2 linked regions of the Caenorhabditis elegans genome follow. The protein of the gene in region 1 purifies or fractionates together with the protein of each later gene. This does not show direct contact. Each region holds a gene or a part of one and is shown in the gene's direction. Other genes may lie near its edges.

Region 1 (7,682 bases):
TTTTCAATTAAATAAAATGTTTTAAATATATTGAAATGGGTTGCAAAAATGAGGTTTTTGTTTTTTTCATAAACACAAGACTATCAATAACATGTAAGTAGAATTGTTCACAATGTATAAAAACAATCAGTTGTATTTTACCAGAAAATTCAATATTTTTCTTTCCCTCTAACTTCCTGTCTTTTTATCCGTTTCTTTCTTTGGTGTTTATCATTGGAAAGAAATTTCTTCACTATCGTTATAAATTGTTCTGTCTACTGTACCTGTCTGAAAATGGGCTAAAACATGCCGTACGCTAGAAAACTTTCCAGACCTGAAAAACGTAAAAATTGTCCGTGCTTTATTTCTCGTTTTAGCCAATTCTTCTTCAATAAATCGTTGTGGACCAAGTGTTTGTCTGTCCTATACTGATAATCCTTTACCTCCTGTACCCATAAAACTAATCTCGGTTGTCCTTCCAAAAAGATCCATAAAAAATAATGTTTTCCGGTCCCTTTGAAAATGCACGGCAAGAAAAAAGTAGAATAGAAAAATAAAACAAGGCGTCAAAATCAGTGTAGAAAAAAAAGTGGCGCCTTTTTGCCGAAAAGAGAGTGTCTTTTTGCTTCTTCATCTTTTTTTGTGTAATGGGTGAGGGGACCAAAGGAAAGGAGTGAGGAACAACATTTATAAGAATGCTCGAGGAGCAGAACCAGCACATCCTCTTCTTCATGCTCCTGCTCTTGGAGCCGCCACCCCGCCAACTTCTCCTCTTTTTTCTTTGTCTTCCGGAGTCCTTTGGTTCTCCTGGGACCTCCTTCTTCCCTAAAACTAACACAGAGTCTATATATTCATAACTTTTCTTTTCGTTGGATTCCCGAGCCAGTTTTTAGCCATCCCACTGACTGGAACTCCCATAACTTGGTCTTGTGTTCCTCGTCTAGGCATTTCCCGTTGAAAAACCAAGATTTTTTGCATTTTTTAAACAAAGCTCCCTTCTTTGTTTTGTAGGAGGGAGGAGCTGTAACCCGATTTAGAAGAAAAAGTCAGCGCCCCTACAAACAGGAAGACCTTAACTAGGTTCCCTCTGTTTGGCAGTATTTCAACAAAATTTTTTCAAAATTTTTCAGCTTCTATATTTTAATAAACAAATTTTTCATAACTTTTTTAAATGAAGTTTACTTACTGTAATTTTCATATCAGACTCGCACTATCTGTCAAAATCCGCCAAAGTTAGTTTACTAACTTCCAAATTTAGAACCATTTTTGGGGCACAATGTTGTTCAAAAGTTGTTTGTTTCCCGTTTCCTTGTTTTTTAAAATTTATCCAGATATGTTTATGAAATTTAAAGTATTTTATGATCCAGGTCGATTTTAGACAATTTTCTAATCGACGTCGACGTATGCCGAAGCTGGGGGTACCTGCGTCGATTAGCCTGACTTCGGCGTCGATCAGAATAGATTTACCAGAGTTTAGTGAGAAATGTGTTTATGTTTTCATAAAAACCCAAAATTCAGACGTCAGAATTCAAAAACCTTCCCCTTCAAATTTTAAAAGAAAATGAGTTGTAGTCGCAGAATATGTTACCTGAAAAGAAGTAGGGGTGACTCTATTGTCTTTATTTCTTTTTTCTTTTTACAATTTTTCATTCTCACTTTTTTTTTACTTTTCAAGTTTGTTCAATAGTCTTCTGCAAAAATATTTCAGTTATAATAGTTGTGTTTTCCAAAAAATTAGTTCAATTCTTTTTTTTTGCAGTTCTTCTTTGTTTTTCCAGTCATGTCCTCATTCCATAAATCCCATTGGTCGTCGATTTCCCATTTTGAATTGCCCCTAGTTTTCCGATTTACTGCATTTTTCAAAAAAAAAGAAAAAAAAACGTTTACTATTGAATACCTATGCCTGGTTGAAAGAATGGGTTTTGTCAGACACTGGTTAACCTTTGCTCAGCTCTTTTTTTGAAGTTTGTAGTTATCGTTTTTGGAGTTTTTATTACAACCTGGTATCATGAATATTTTTTCTCTTCCATTTTCATTTTTCCTTCCCAAGTGTGCTGCCCGAGTCTATTGGAAGTCAGAATACCAACGTGTTCCTTGACACTTTTTGATTTGATTTCCACATTTTTTCCTACATTCTCCTCTTCTTTTGGCTTTTCTTCTCTCCTGAGCAACGAAGTTTAACCATTGCAATATTTGTAACTTTCATATAATAAGTAGTGGAGTTTTTGAATTGATTAAAAAGTTTTTGAATTGATTTGCATCATGGTCTAAACGAATAAAACTTCTCCAAGAGACTCCTCAAAAAGCTTTCAATAACGTAGTTGTTGTTCAAAATTAAAAAAAAATTACAAAACTTGTGTTCCATCGACTAAGATGGTACCTAAATTCCAAAAAAAAAAACGAGTAATAAATTACTAAACTGGAAAATTTGGCATATATTCCAGGTAAATTTAGCCTGTTTCTTTCAGATAATTTTGAGTACATTGAATAAATTTTGTTACTACCTCTATCCCGGCTCGCCATTCGCCTTGTTGCTTCCTATCAAAAACTTTTGTCTAGGAGTTACTCAACACGACTTATCAATGAATTGCTAATTTTAGAAATAATTACTAAAAAATGTTGGAATGGGTTGAGAAACCACATGTTCATAGGAGAGTAAATTTCTACGAATTCAAACTAATTTTGCCAAATATTTATTGTAATTTCTTGCTTTTTTTTGTTGATTGTTGGCCCACTTACTTAGTTTACGTTAATGTTTTTTTTCTCTACAGCTACTCTTTTTAATTAAATTTCTTTTTGTTTTAATCAGAGGTAAAGTGCTATAATTTGGCTCAACCAACTCACAGGTGATTCGCGGGTTTTAAAATACTTATGAAATGTAGTTCGCGCGCTTCTACAAGAGGCACCAGCGATATAGTAAAATACTTGCAAAATCGCAAATATTGTGCAAATTGCGATCACCGAGAGTCGCGATTACCAAAATACTGCTAAAATGTTAATGGTCCCGCGGCGAAATTCGCGATTTGCAAAATGCATCTAAAATATTGGAGGTCATAAGTATTTTACAAACGGCGAATCACCTGTGCTATTGTAAAGTGGAAAACTTCTATAACTATTTCTTCGAACCCTCTAATTTTCCTATCCAAAAAATAGTTGAAGCCCACATAAATCTTTTAATACATTTATCTCTATTTCATTCTTTCTCTTCTAACTGGTAATTTGAAATTCGAATATTTTCTTCAAGTTCCGGCATCTGTATATTTTCTTTTTATAAAACTTCCAAAAAAATATTTGCAGCCAAGGACAATTCAAGCGTTTGTTAATTTTTACACAAAAAAAGGAAAAAAAACAATGAAACAAAGTGTAAAATGAATGAAAATGAAGTGTTCATATACCGTAGTATTTTTACTATTTTACTTGCTTATTGCGAGTTTCCACGTGGATGCTCTTAGTTGGGCGGCATGGAGTCCTTGGAGTTCGTGTACTAAAACGGTAATCGGACAGAGAAGCTATTCAGAAAAAAAAAATTTTCAGTGTGGTGGCGGAGTTTCTCGTCAGTTACGACGTTGTTTGACATCAAAATGCTCAGGAGAATCAGTTCGATTCAAAGTTTGTGCTCAAAAAACTTGCGAGTCAAAATCTAGATTAGCTAGGGATACAATATGTGGAGGAGAGGAAATAGTCTCCAGGGGACAGGTATGTATGAACCACTTTCAAAATAATGTTTTCTTGTGAAGAAACATTTATTTAAAAAAAGTTTTTGTAGTAGTAGTCAAAAAATAATTTGGACAAATGTACCGAATAACCAAAAACGCAAAAACGTTCAGCCCTGCAGCAAGAGTGTTGTTTTTTCGATTTCTCAATTTTTTATGAATGTCGAAAAAAAAATTTCGGATTCTCAAACTATTAATTTTTTAACGGTCTAAATTTCAATAATATCCACATATCATGATACATAACATTCTAACAATTTTGTAAAAGTTGTGGTAAATTTCCAAATTTTCCAAAAATGTGGACTTCCTGAGAAATTTCGAGTTGTACTGCAGGTTTGAATCCCTAGAGTGTTTAAATATAAACAATCTTTAAAAAATGCGGAAAACTGAGTTTTCAAGTGTAGATTTAAAAAAGCCAAATAATTGTTGAAAAGTTTGAATTTTTTTTGAAAAGTTTGTGAATCATACATGAACAGTTTTCAAGCACCTATAAGTGAAAAAATAAGAACTAAAATTCAGTGCGAAGTGGTATGCCGATCACGCTTAACTGGTGCAAATTTTCTTTGGAGAGTTGATGATGGAACGCCGTGTCAGGCCGCAACAAGTAGAGCTGTCTGCAGTAAAGGGTCTTGTCAGGTTACTAAATATAATTGTTTTAATTATTATTTTCCCCAAATTTCAGATCGTTGGCTGTGACGGATTGATTAGTTCATCTTTTCGATTTGATGCCTGTGGAGTATGTGGAGGACGAGGGGATACGTGTGACAATGGAAAGTTCATTTGGAAAGTTTCCGGTAGAATTTTAAAGATTTACAACAATCACTCAAAACACTAAGATTTCCAGAAGAATACACTGCATGCGCTTCAAATTGTGATGATATAGTTGACTGGTCAGGTGCTGGACGTTCAATTGCTTCAACTAGTCAACCAATTGTTGTATGTGTAAATGCAATAACTGGAAGAGTTGTTCCTGAAAAGTTATGTGCTGATAAATTGAGACCGAAAGTTGAAGCAAGACCATGCCCAATGCTGATTTGCCCTTCAAGGTTTGAAATTTTAAATTATTTTATATTTATGCTTAAGTGCATAGTTTCGTAAATAGTTTTAAATTCTAGTTGTTGTCTGTACTTTTTGAAAAGCACAAACCTCTAAAAAACAAAAAACCGAACTCAAATTTCTGTTAACTTTTGTATTTTAATAATTTGAATTGTTTTTGAATATCCAATTTCCTTTTTCAAGAAATATTCTTTATATCGTTTCCTAAATTAGATTTGCTAATTTGATTTTAATTAATAATTTCAGATGCCGGTGAGTTTTTCCAAAAAGATCCCAAATCAGGGTGTGGTAAGCTGAAAGAGTGTGCCCCATAAGAATGACGGGGATTATTGATTTTTTATTTTTTCTCAATTTATTTTTGTTTTCTATATCACATTCACTTCTATTTGAATTTTCTCGATAAATATTTTTATCGTTTAGGAATGGCTAAGTTCAATTTTTAGATAATTTGAGACTGACATCTCTTTGCTTTATTAGACGCTGTGTGTCAATTTGAATATTTATGGATTTTGAAGTAATGAACTGAAAACTTGCAGATGGATGGCTGCAGACTGGACAGAATGTGTACCACATTGTGGTGAAGGGACAAGAAAAAGAGAGGTTTACTGTGTACAGACGGCGCATAATGTTACAGTACATGTTCCTGATACCTTCTGTGAAAATGGAACAAGACCGGTTAGTTGTTAAAAGTTTTAGCCATTGTTTCAGATGTTAAGTAGAGATCTTCTTATTAATGCTTGAGCGGAGCATTCTCAAAATGTTTTCAAAACACCAATTTTAATAATAACACCTCTTGAAATTTTCAGAAACATTTTTATGGCGGTTAAAAAATTTGTTGAAAAATTGTTTTTTTAAGAGGTCTTTTTTTGAATTTCGGCCTATAGGGTCAGTATAAAGAATACGCTACTCCAGATTTGACTTCAAGTATTTTTCCAAAAAATATATTGTTTGGGCGAAAACGTTTAAAAGCCTTGCCACTATAATTGTATATATTGTTTTTCTGTTACAGACGCAAATTTTCCAGATTTCTTAGCGTTATCATCTGCCTTTTTAAAAAACAACTTTCCTAAATTTTTTTGTTTACTTGCATGTTTCAGAAATAATTTAGAAATCTCTCTAAAACTTTCCTGAATGATAACTTTCAGGCAGCCGAAGAAAACTGTGTATCAACATCATGTGGACGATGGGAAGCCGGAAAATGGTCAAAATGTACAGCTTCGTGTGGCCAAGGAGTGCGACGACGTCACGTGGCATGTGTTGGAGGTTCAGATTGTGATGAAGGAGGACGTCCAAGACAAGAGACAACATGTTATGCTGGAATACCATGTAGTATTGCAACAAATAGGTGAGCTCCATTAAGAAGTGGAGAATTGGTAAAGGCACTTTACGCCAAATCATTAGGTAGAATGTGTGAGCGTAAAATGATGAGATTTGCAACAACTTTTTTGAAACTGAAATTGCTGGTTTTTACATTAAAAAAAAATTCAACTTCCAAAAAATGGTATTTTTCATTTAATTCTAGCCTACATAAAAGTTAACAGCTTGCCAAAATTAGTGTACGAAGCAAATTTTACAAGCTCGACAAACTCAACAAGTTTCGTTTGGTACTTGCTAAATGAAAATACTTGCTGTTATATTATTTAAAAATTGTATAGTCTAGAAAAGAATTTCAGATCTACATAATTATTTTTTAATCGAAGCTTTACTATTCATGTCTAAAAGTTCGATGTAAAACGAGTAAGTTGAGCAATCCCCCTTCTACACACAACTAACAGTTTCTTCAATATACACATTTTGTCCATTTGTACTCTTTTTCGGAATTTCTCATCAATCACATTCCTACTAAACTTCTTCCTTTTTGTCTTCCATTACAAATTCAGTGTATTAAAGAACTCTTTCTTTGTAGAGATGACTCCATTTTCGTAGTTGTACTTGTACTTGATTCCAAGAGTGAGAAAGATTTGAAAAAAGGGATGAAAATAGGGAAGAGTAAGAAAAATTACTACTCGTCTTAACTTTAAGCTGTAAAAGGATGAGCGGAGTGGAATAGAGGGGGTAAAAAATGGTCGAATAGCAGGGATTATTGAAGTTACCCATGGGAGTTTATGTGAGAATGTTGCCAGTTTTTTGGATGAGAAAGAACTACGACAGGAAGTGACGAGGTTTACTGTATATGAGAAAAGGTACAGTGATAACTGAAACGCGTGTTTTCTTTTGTGAGGTCAGAAAATTCCATGTCTTGGTGGTCCCATTTCTATTTGGCGACGATACCTGAGACGCCATGAGTTTTTTCATTAGATCGTTTGTTTTTCACAACATGGTCTATCGTTTTTAGGAGCAAAATAAACCCATTGGCAATTTGTTCTGAAATATCCTATGGGATTTTGTGCATATTTTTTTACGCATGGGCGGAATAACTGCACTGAATTTTCACTGAATTACTTCTTCTCAAATTCTCAAAACTAGAAAAAAAAATTATAAACAAGTCCAGACCACCTAAATAATTTGAAAGGTCTACATATGTATCAATGACCCTGTGAGGCACGGAGTTATCGTCTCCCGCGGGTTTAAAAGCTAGACAAACTCGTTCAATCGTTTGATATTTCAAACAATTAAGATCTTTCGCCCTCAATTATTGAAAAACTCACCAATATTGGTATGAGAACATCACGCTCTAAAATCAAGCTTGAATGTGGTCCCCAGATAAATTGGAAATATAGGTCTTCAAATTTTGGAACTAGAACCGCCTTAAAAGACATCATTTTCAAATTTCAGTTTTGCAGCAAGGTTCTGCATTCTTTCACATTAAAGTGATATCCCTAGGCATAAAATAAACATACTAAACGGTTGGAGATTTTCACATCTTTTTTGGAAAAGTGCTTCTTCTTCTCCAAAATATTCTAAAACTACTACTATTGTTCTTTGCCGCTGCTC
Region 2 (5,879 bases), on another chromosome or scaffold:
TGCCATCTCTATAAGAAACACTAACTCTCAAAATACAAACGTGCACATAGGCATTTCCATAAATTCTCGTTTCCTCTATTTCTAATTATTTTCCTTTATTTCGTTTTTCTTTCTAACATAATTTTTGCAACAAAGTTTTGTGTTCCTTCCTGTTTCTCTTTTCATTTTAAATTTTGAAGTGCGTCTTTCTAAAATTTTGTTTTCCCTAGTCGCCGGAAAATGAAAGACTTTTTCAATTTTCGTTTTTGTTTTTGAAACCTGAAATTAACTGTATCAATGAAAATTCCAATGTCCTATAGTTCTTAATTAAAATAATAGATTTAAATTTAGCGGAACTTGTAAGTCACAATACGCAAAGTTTGTAGAATTAAACTTTAAGCACTGAAATTCTCAAACTAAAAACCCCTTTAATGCCTAAGTCTCTAACTATTTCTCCCTAGACAGGGAGGTGCCTAAAAACTAAATAACCCACGTCAATGTGTGAAGAAAGAAAACTCGTTGACTTCATCGTCTAAAGCTATAGAGTATCTTCACTAATTCGTTCCGAAAAAGAGATTCGGCAAAACGATTAAAAGTTCGTCTATGTGTATGTGTGTGAGCTGCTGCACAGAAGCCCATCGTTTCTCTACTACTGGAGCAGCAGCATAACAAAGCACGCATGAATTGCTGACAAATCTCGGGACATCATCGCTAAATTAAATTCCATTCAATTCTTTGAATCTTATCTCTTCTGTTCCTATATGTGTGTGTCCTTTTTTATTTCGTTTTCTACATCTGAAACAGAGAAACCATCCGGAAAATGCGATTAAAATGGAATCAAAAAAGAAGAAACCACAGAGGTCTTTTTGCGTTCAAATTTAATTCCCTCAGTCTTTTCTTCGACATTTTTAAACATCTGATTTCTAGGAGTCTGAAATATTGAAATATATTGAGAGAGAGAACAGTCGCTTTCCAAATAAAAATCATGTTTTCCTGGCATCTTTATCACGAGTAAACATAAACAAAAAATATTGAAAGCTCAGAGAAAAAATGAGATATTTTGCCTTGAGAAACCTACGTAGCTGTTTCCATCTTCCTCAATTGAAGACTAAAACGAAGCTAATTATTCTCAAAGAATTTCGTAATAATCTCAGAGGTATCCAAGATTACGAGAAAAAAGTAGCAAAGCTGGAAACGTTTTCCAGAATTCAAGTCATCAAAAGTTATTATAATTATAAGAGAAGAGCACCCAAAGAGTCTTCTTCTCATACCTCATTCATTTCATGCAAATGATGAGGAAGCTCTGCCTCTTTATTTGATGGACTTGTAGTTTTCCCATAAATACACTACTAGAGATTCTCACTCATCCAATCGAGTAACTTCTTTATAAGTTTTCATGGTCTCGATATCGTTTAGTTTGTGATCATAATACAAAGTTGAGAGATAGCCTTATGGGAATTTCCTGCAAACATTTTGACAAGAAGTGGTTCAAAAAGCAGCTCTACCTCTGAAAAATTTTGCAGACTGCAGAAAATAAGAAAACGTCTCAAAGATAATTTATGACAACTTTTTAGTTGCAACACCTCCCTGGTGTGACCTACTGAACCAGTCTGGTCTTTAATTTTTTCAAAACACTGCTTTTGTTTTCTGTTTCTTTGCTTTTTTGTTGCTTTCACCAAACCAAATATTTCCTTCGAAATTCTCAGGTTGCTCGAAAAAAAAAATTGTTTTCACTTGCTTCAACTTCAGCTAAAATAGCTCATTATTATTTTTATTTTCTCTTTTCTTTGTCTACATCAAATTGTTTTCTTTTTTCCACTATCCTTCCTTTCTGAAAAAATTCCGTGTCTCAATATCATCCATCCTTTTTTTGAAAAGGAAGTTCACTTTGTTTCAAAATGTGAATGAATGAATGATAGGTCACTGCCACGACAAGGAAAGCATTTTACTATTTATAGAGGGATCAATTGCAATTGTTATACAAAACCACTACCGATCGGTAGTGCCTTGCTTCATTTTGGAATTTGATACCTGGTTGGAAAATATGAGAAAATACGAATAAAAATGAGAGGAAAGTTGAAATGCAGACAAAAAAGTAGGATAACTCTAGTTTTAATATTTGAATTATTTATTTTATGAAGGTTCATAAAAACAACTTCCATTAAAAATCTTCCTTGTAAGCACAAACATGCCTGTCTTTCCTGTCTCGTGTTCACACTCACCCTTTTTCCCAAGTTCCTATGATACATTGTTTTAATTTCTTAATAGAACATTCAACAAATTAAATAACTTTTTTCTTCATCTTGAGAAACATTCATTTGAACTAATAGTCTGAGAAAGTTTAAACCATCACATAACAATTAGGAAAACTGTAATTTTCCAATTTATGAACATCAAAAACACTTCACATATCAGAGTTAGTTTTTCCAACTTGACCAAGTAGTTCTTTCCCGATTCTTTCCGTTTCATCCAAAAAAAGAGCAATTGAAAAAGTATGTACCTGTCCTCTTTTTCTCTATCCCCATTCCCAAAACGTCCATTCAAATTGGCGCCTCCCACTCCTTTTTCCCTTTTTTCATTTTCTCTAAATCCCGACTCTTCTCTACTTTTTCCGATGTTCTTCTAGTAGGGTTTACAGGATTTCAGAGATTTTCTTCCCCTGCAAAAAACCTAAAAATCTATGAATTCCAATTCAGTCTAAGTAGTTTCAAATATTCCAATTGTAAATATTAATTATTCATGACTCTTCTTTGCCGCCTGCCATGCTGGCTTTATCTTCCGATTTGTGCCCCTACCCCTCCCTTTTTCTTTTTCCGCTTTTTAATGGAACTCCCAATGTGTATGCCTTTTGGTGCATGCTCTTCTCTACCAAACTTCCTATCCTTTCAGATGCGACAAAAATGAGACAAAAGTTTGATGATACTGGACAATACTTAACGATATGGCTTGTTTTTACGGTTTCATTGTTCAGCGTAGTAGATTCAATTATTCTCACTGGAGCTCCAGACTCTTATGCGAGGTGGGCTCACTTTTTTTTGAATACGGCGAAACTTCATAGACCATTTTTTAGGTATCCAAAATGGGCGCACTCATTCGAAAATTCGCTATCAATGGAATTGAAAACACGACAATCCGATGGAATGTTACTGTACACAGACGATGGTGGAACTCATGGAAATTTTTATTCACTGACAATTGTAGAAGGTCATATTCAGTTAGACTTTAGGTGAGTTTTTTGTCCAAGAAATCCAGAAATTGTAATGAAAAAATCTTGACAGCTGCTTGAAAATTTTTTTAATAAAACTGCCATAAAAATCCTAGTACTTTTTCTCCTCATGTTGGAACAGCAAGTCAGACGCCCAATTTTTCGAGTATTCATTTTGTGTTTCAAAATCTTCAGATTTTGACTTTCAAAAAATAATTAAAAAAAAAAACATTTAACACGAATAAACCTGCACTCCGTATCGTCCGGAATCCTTAAAACCGGTCACACGTTCAGTTGGGCTCGCCAGGCTCATGAATTCTATTTCAGATTTTCTTGATATAATTTTCTTTAATTTCTAGGTTAGGTGACAATTCAAATGAATTTGGCCAACGACGACCAGTGAATACAATTCGAATAGAAGAAGTAAGTTTTCTTGTGAAATCTCAATTTATCATGAATCTACATTGTACATCTTGTGACCACATACTAATCGAGTCTATCATTTCCGACTTCCTTTTTACTTTTTCTTTGTCTATTTATACCCAACGGTCATAAATCTGCGAATCAAGTTTTCTCCGACACATTTTGGTGTTCTTTGAGCAGTCGAGCAATGCCGCCGTTATCCACTGCAAACCCATATATTTTATACTTTAAGTGAGCTCCGAGAGCACGTCCCAAGGGTTTAAGTCACAAAGGAACAAGTGTCAGATGAAGAAAATAGGGTGTTGCAATGTTATATAAAATCTTTCAGGGGAATTTATATTTGTGAAATCAAGGTTTTTTCCAGGTTAGAATAGATGACGACAAATGGCATACGTTGACGATATTTCAATCATGGGAAAATGTGAAACTGGAGTTGGATTATACTCTTGTTTTCAAGATTCTGAATCAACGAAGCTTTGTATTTGGAAACATTCTCAAAAATTCAGATGTTTTCATTGGAGGATTACCACCAGTAAGATTAATTATGTAACACTGTATGAAATGATTGTATTCAGAATATGCACATGCTTCCCGTAATGAGTTCTCCTCTTCGTCGATACGCTCGTCATTTGGCAGTCAACGTGCGCAATTTGATGTACCGCCAGTATCCCCAAGGTATGTAAATGAATCAAGATCATCGGTCCCACACTTTCAGCACTTCCTGTCTTAAGACTTGACCAAGTTGAACGAGATAATGAAGTCGTTAAAGAGTAAGAAATTTTACCAATTACATTTCTAATTAGTTATTTTTATGGATATGAATATGTATTAAGTGTAATTCCGATTCACTTGTGTGTATTGATTCACTTTAATCACTGACCTCTTGGATTTAGAAGTGTGTTCTGATCATCTTATGGGTTGCACTGAAAACGTAATCAATCTTAAAAAGTATGTACCTTATAGTGTATGTAAAGAGTATCCAAAACTTAATGATAAAATACCGTATGAAAATTGGTTTACTGTTCCAAATCTCTCAGTCACACTATTTGTAGCTTCGTTGTGATACATCTGTATGAAAATCAAAGGAAAAATGGAAGGAAAAATAATAAATTGTTATTCAGGTGTCACATCTCCTCAGCTTCTGGAATCAGTTGGAACACGCACCAACGAAGACGACCATTGCAAGTCAAAATCGGTTTGTTTTCTTCATAAATATTTTCAGAAGAAAAAATAAAATTTTTCTGAAAATTATATTCTCCAGATGTCTTCACGCGAACAATTTGTGTGCCTCAACGATGGTGAATGTTATTCATCAAATGATGGACCACATTGTGACTGCCAGTTCTCTGATCATGACGGAAGGAATTGTGAAATTGGTAATGCTTTTTTCATTCATTCCCATAAGATTTTTTTCATTTTTGCGCGGGATAGTGACGAAATTGAAAGAGAACACAAGCGGAAGCAAAGAAACCAAAGATTGTGGGAAAATTCTTTTTGGTTTCAGAAAAAAACGACGGAGAATTAACATTTGGAGGTGATGAATGGGTCGGATATGATGTTTCATTGAATATATCAGCTGCAGTGAGAGCCAAGAAAGAAAATCTAACATTGACATTCAAAACTGTACATGGGACATCTATGTTGTTTTATGCGGGAGATGAAAAGGTATTTAATTTGAATTGATTACAGTTTGATTTTTTTTTTTAACGTTGGAAGAATAAAATTAGAAGTATAAAAGTAGTATAACAGTGAGTTCTTAAAATTAAATATTGCCCATTCCTTCAGAAAATAGTTTTTCGTTTTTTTTAATTTTTAACCCGAGCTTCTTTTATTTGTACAATTTTGAAATACCATGCTCAACGAGAGAAGCCTAGAGAGAGATATAAGCCTACAAGTTGTGAAAACAAATCAACCGTTTTTTCTCCTAACGTAGTAATGATTTATTAAAGTTTTCTATTCTCTTTTAATATTAAAGTTGGAAGGAATTTACAGAGTTATCTTCACGTAATGCTCCAAGATGGGGCTATAATCGCTTCTTCGAAATTTGACGGCTCCGATGCTCGAATCATTCGAATGTTCAATTCATTTCCATCTCAAAGATATGATGATGATTCCTGGCATACAATAATTTTGGAGAGATCTCTTCAAATGGTAAACTAAACATTTCATTAGTCCCTTCTAATCTTAAGGTTTCTAATCAAACGGTTCACGGCCCAAAATCACTCTAACCCCAGATCAAAATTTTTATTTTCTTCCCAAAATCAATTATTCA

Evidence for each region.
Region 2: the proteins of madd-4 (region 1) and nrx-1 purify together in Caenorhabditis elegans (co-purification; one study listed by BioGRID). This does not show direct contact.

The regions. Positions count from the first base shown.
Region 1 is NC_003279.8:8,937,880-8,945,561, reverse strand, and holds the start of madd-4 (Protein madd-4), read left to right. Parts: upstream 1-3,274; 5' UTR 3,275-3,357; coding exon 3,358-3,471; intron 3,472-3,513; coding exon 3,514-3,675; intron 3,676-4,211; coding exon 4,212-4,328; intron 4,329-4,374; coding exon 4,375-4,486; intron 4,487-4,536; coding exon 4,537-4,738; intron 4,739-4,994; coding exon 4,995-5,000; intron 5,001-5,284; coding exon 5,285-5,423; intron 5,424-5,893; coding exon 5,894-6,093; intron 6,094-7,682. UniProt on the Caenorhabditis elegans protein: Component of an extracellular matrix cue that is involved in the guidance of dorsoventral midline migrations and in the specification of postsynaptic domains at neuromuscular junctions (NMJs).
Region 2 is NC_003283.11:10,822,145-10,828,023, forward strand, and holds the start of nrx-1 (Neurexin-3-beta), read left to right. Parts: upstream 1-2,879; coding exon 2,880-2,998; intron 2,999-3,049; coding exon 3,050-3,205; intron 3,206-3,543; coding exon 3,544-3,607; intron 3,608-3,700; exon of another isoform or gene 3,701-3,917; intron 3,918-3,971; coding exon 3,972-4,139; intron 4,140-4,182; coding exon 4,183-4,282; intron 4,283-4,728; coding exon 4,729-4,802; intron 4,803-4,868; coding exon 4,869-4,983; intron 4,984-5,111; coding exon 5,112-5,272; intron 5,273-5,599; coding exon 5,600-5,758; intron 5,759-5,879.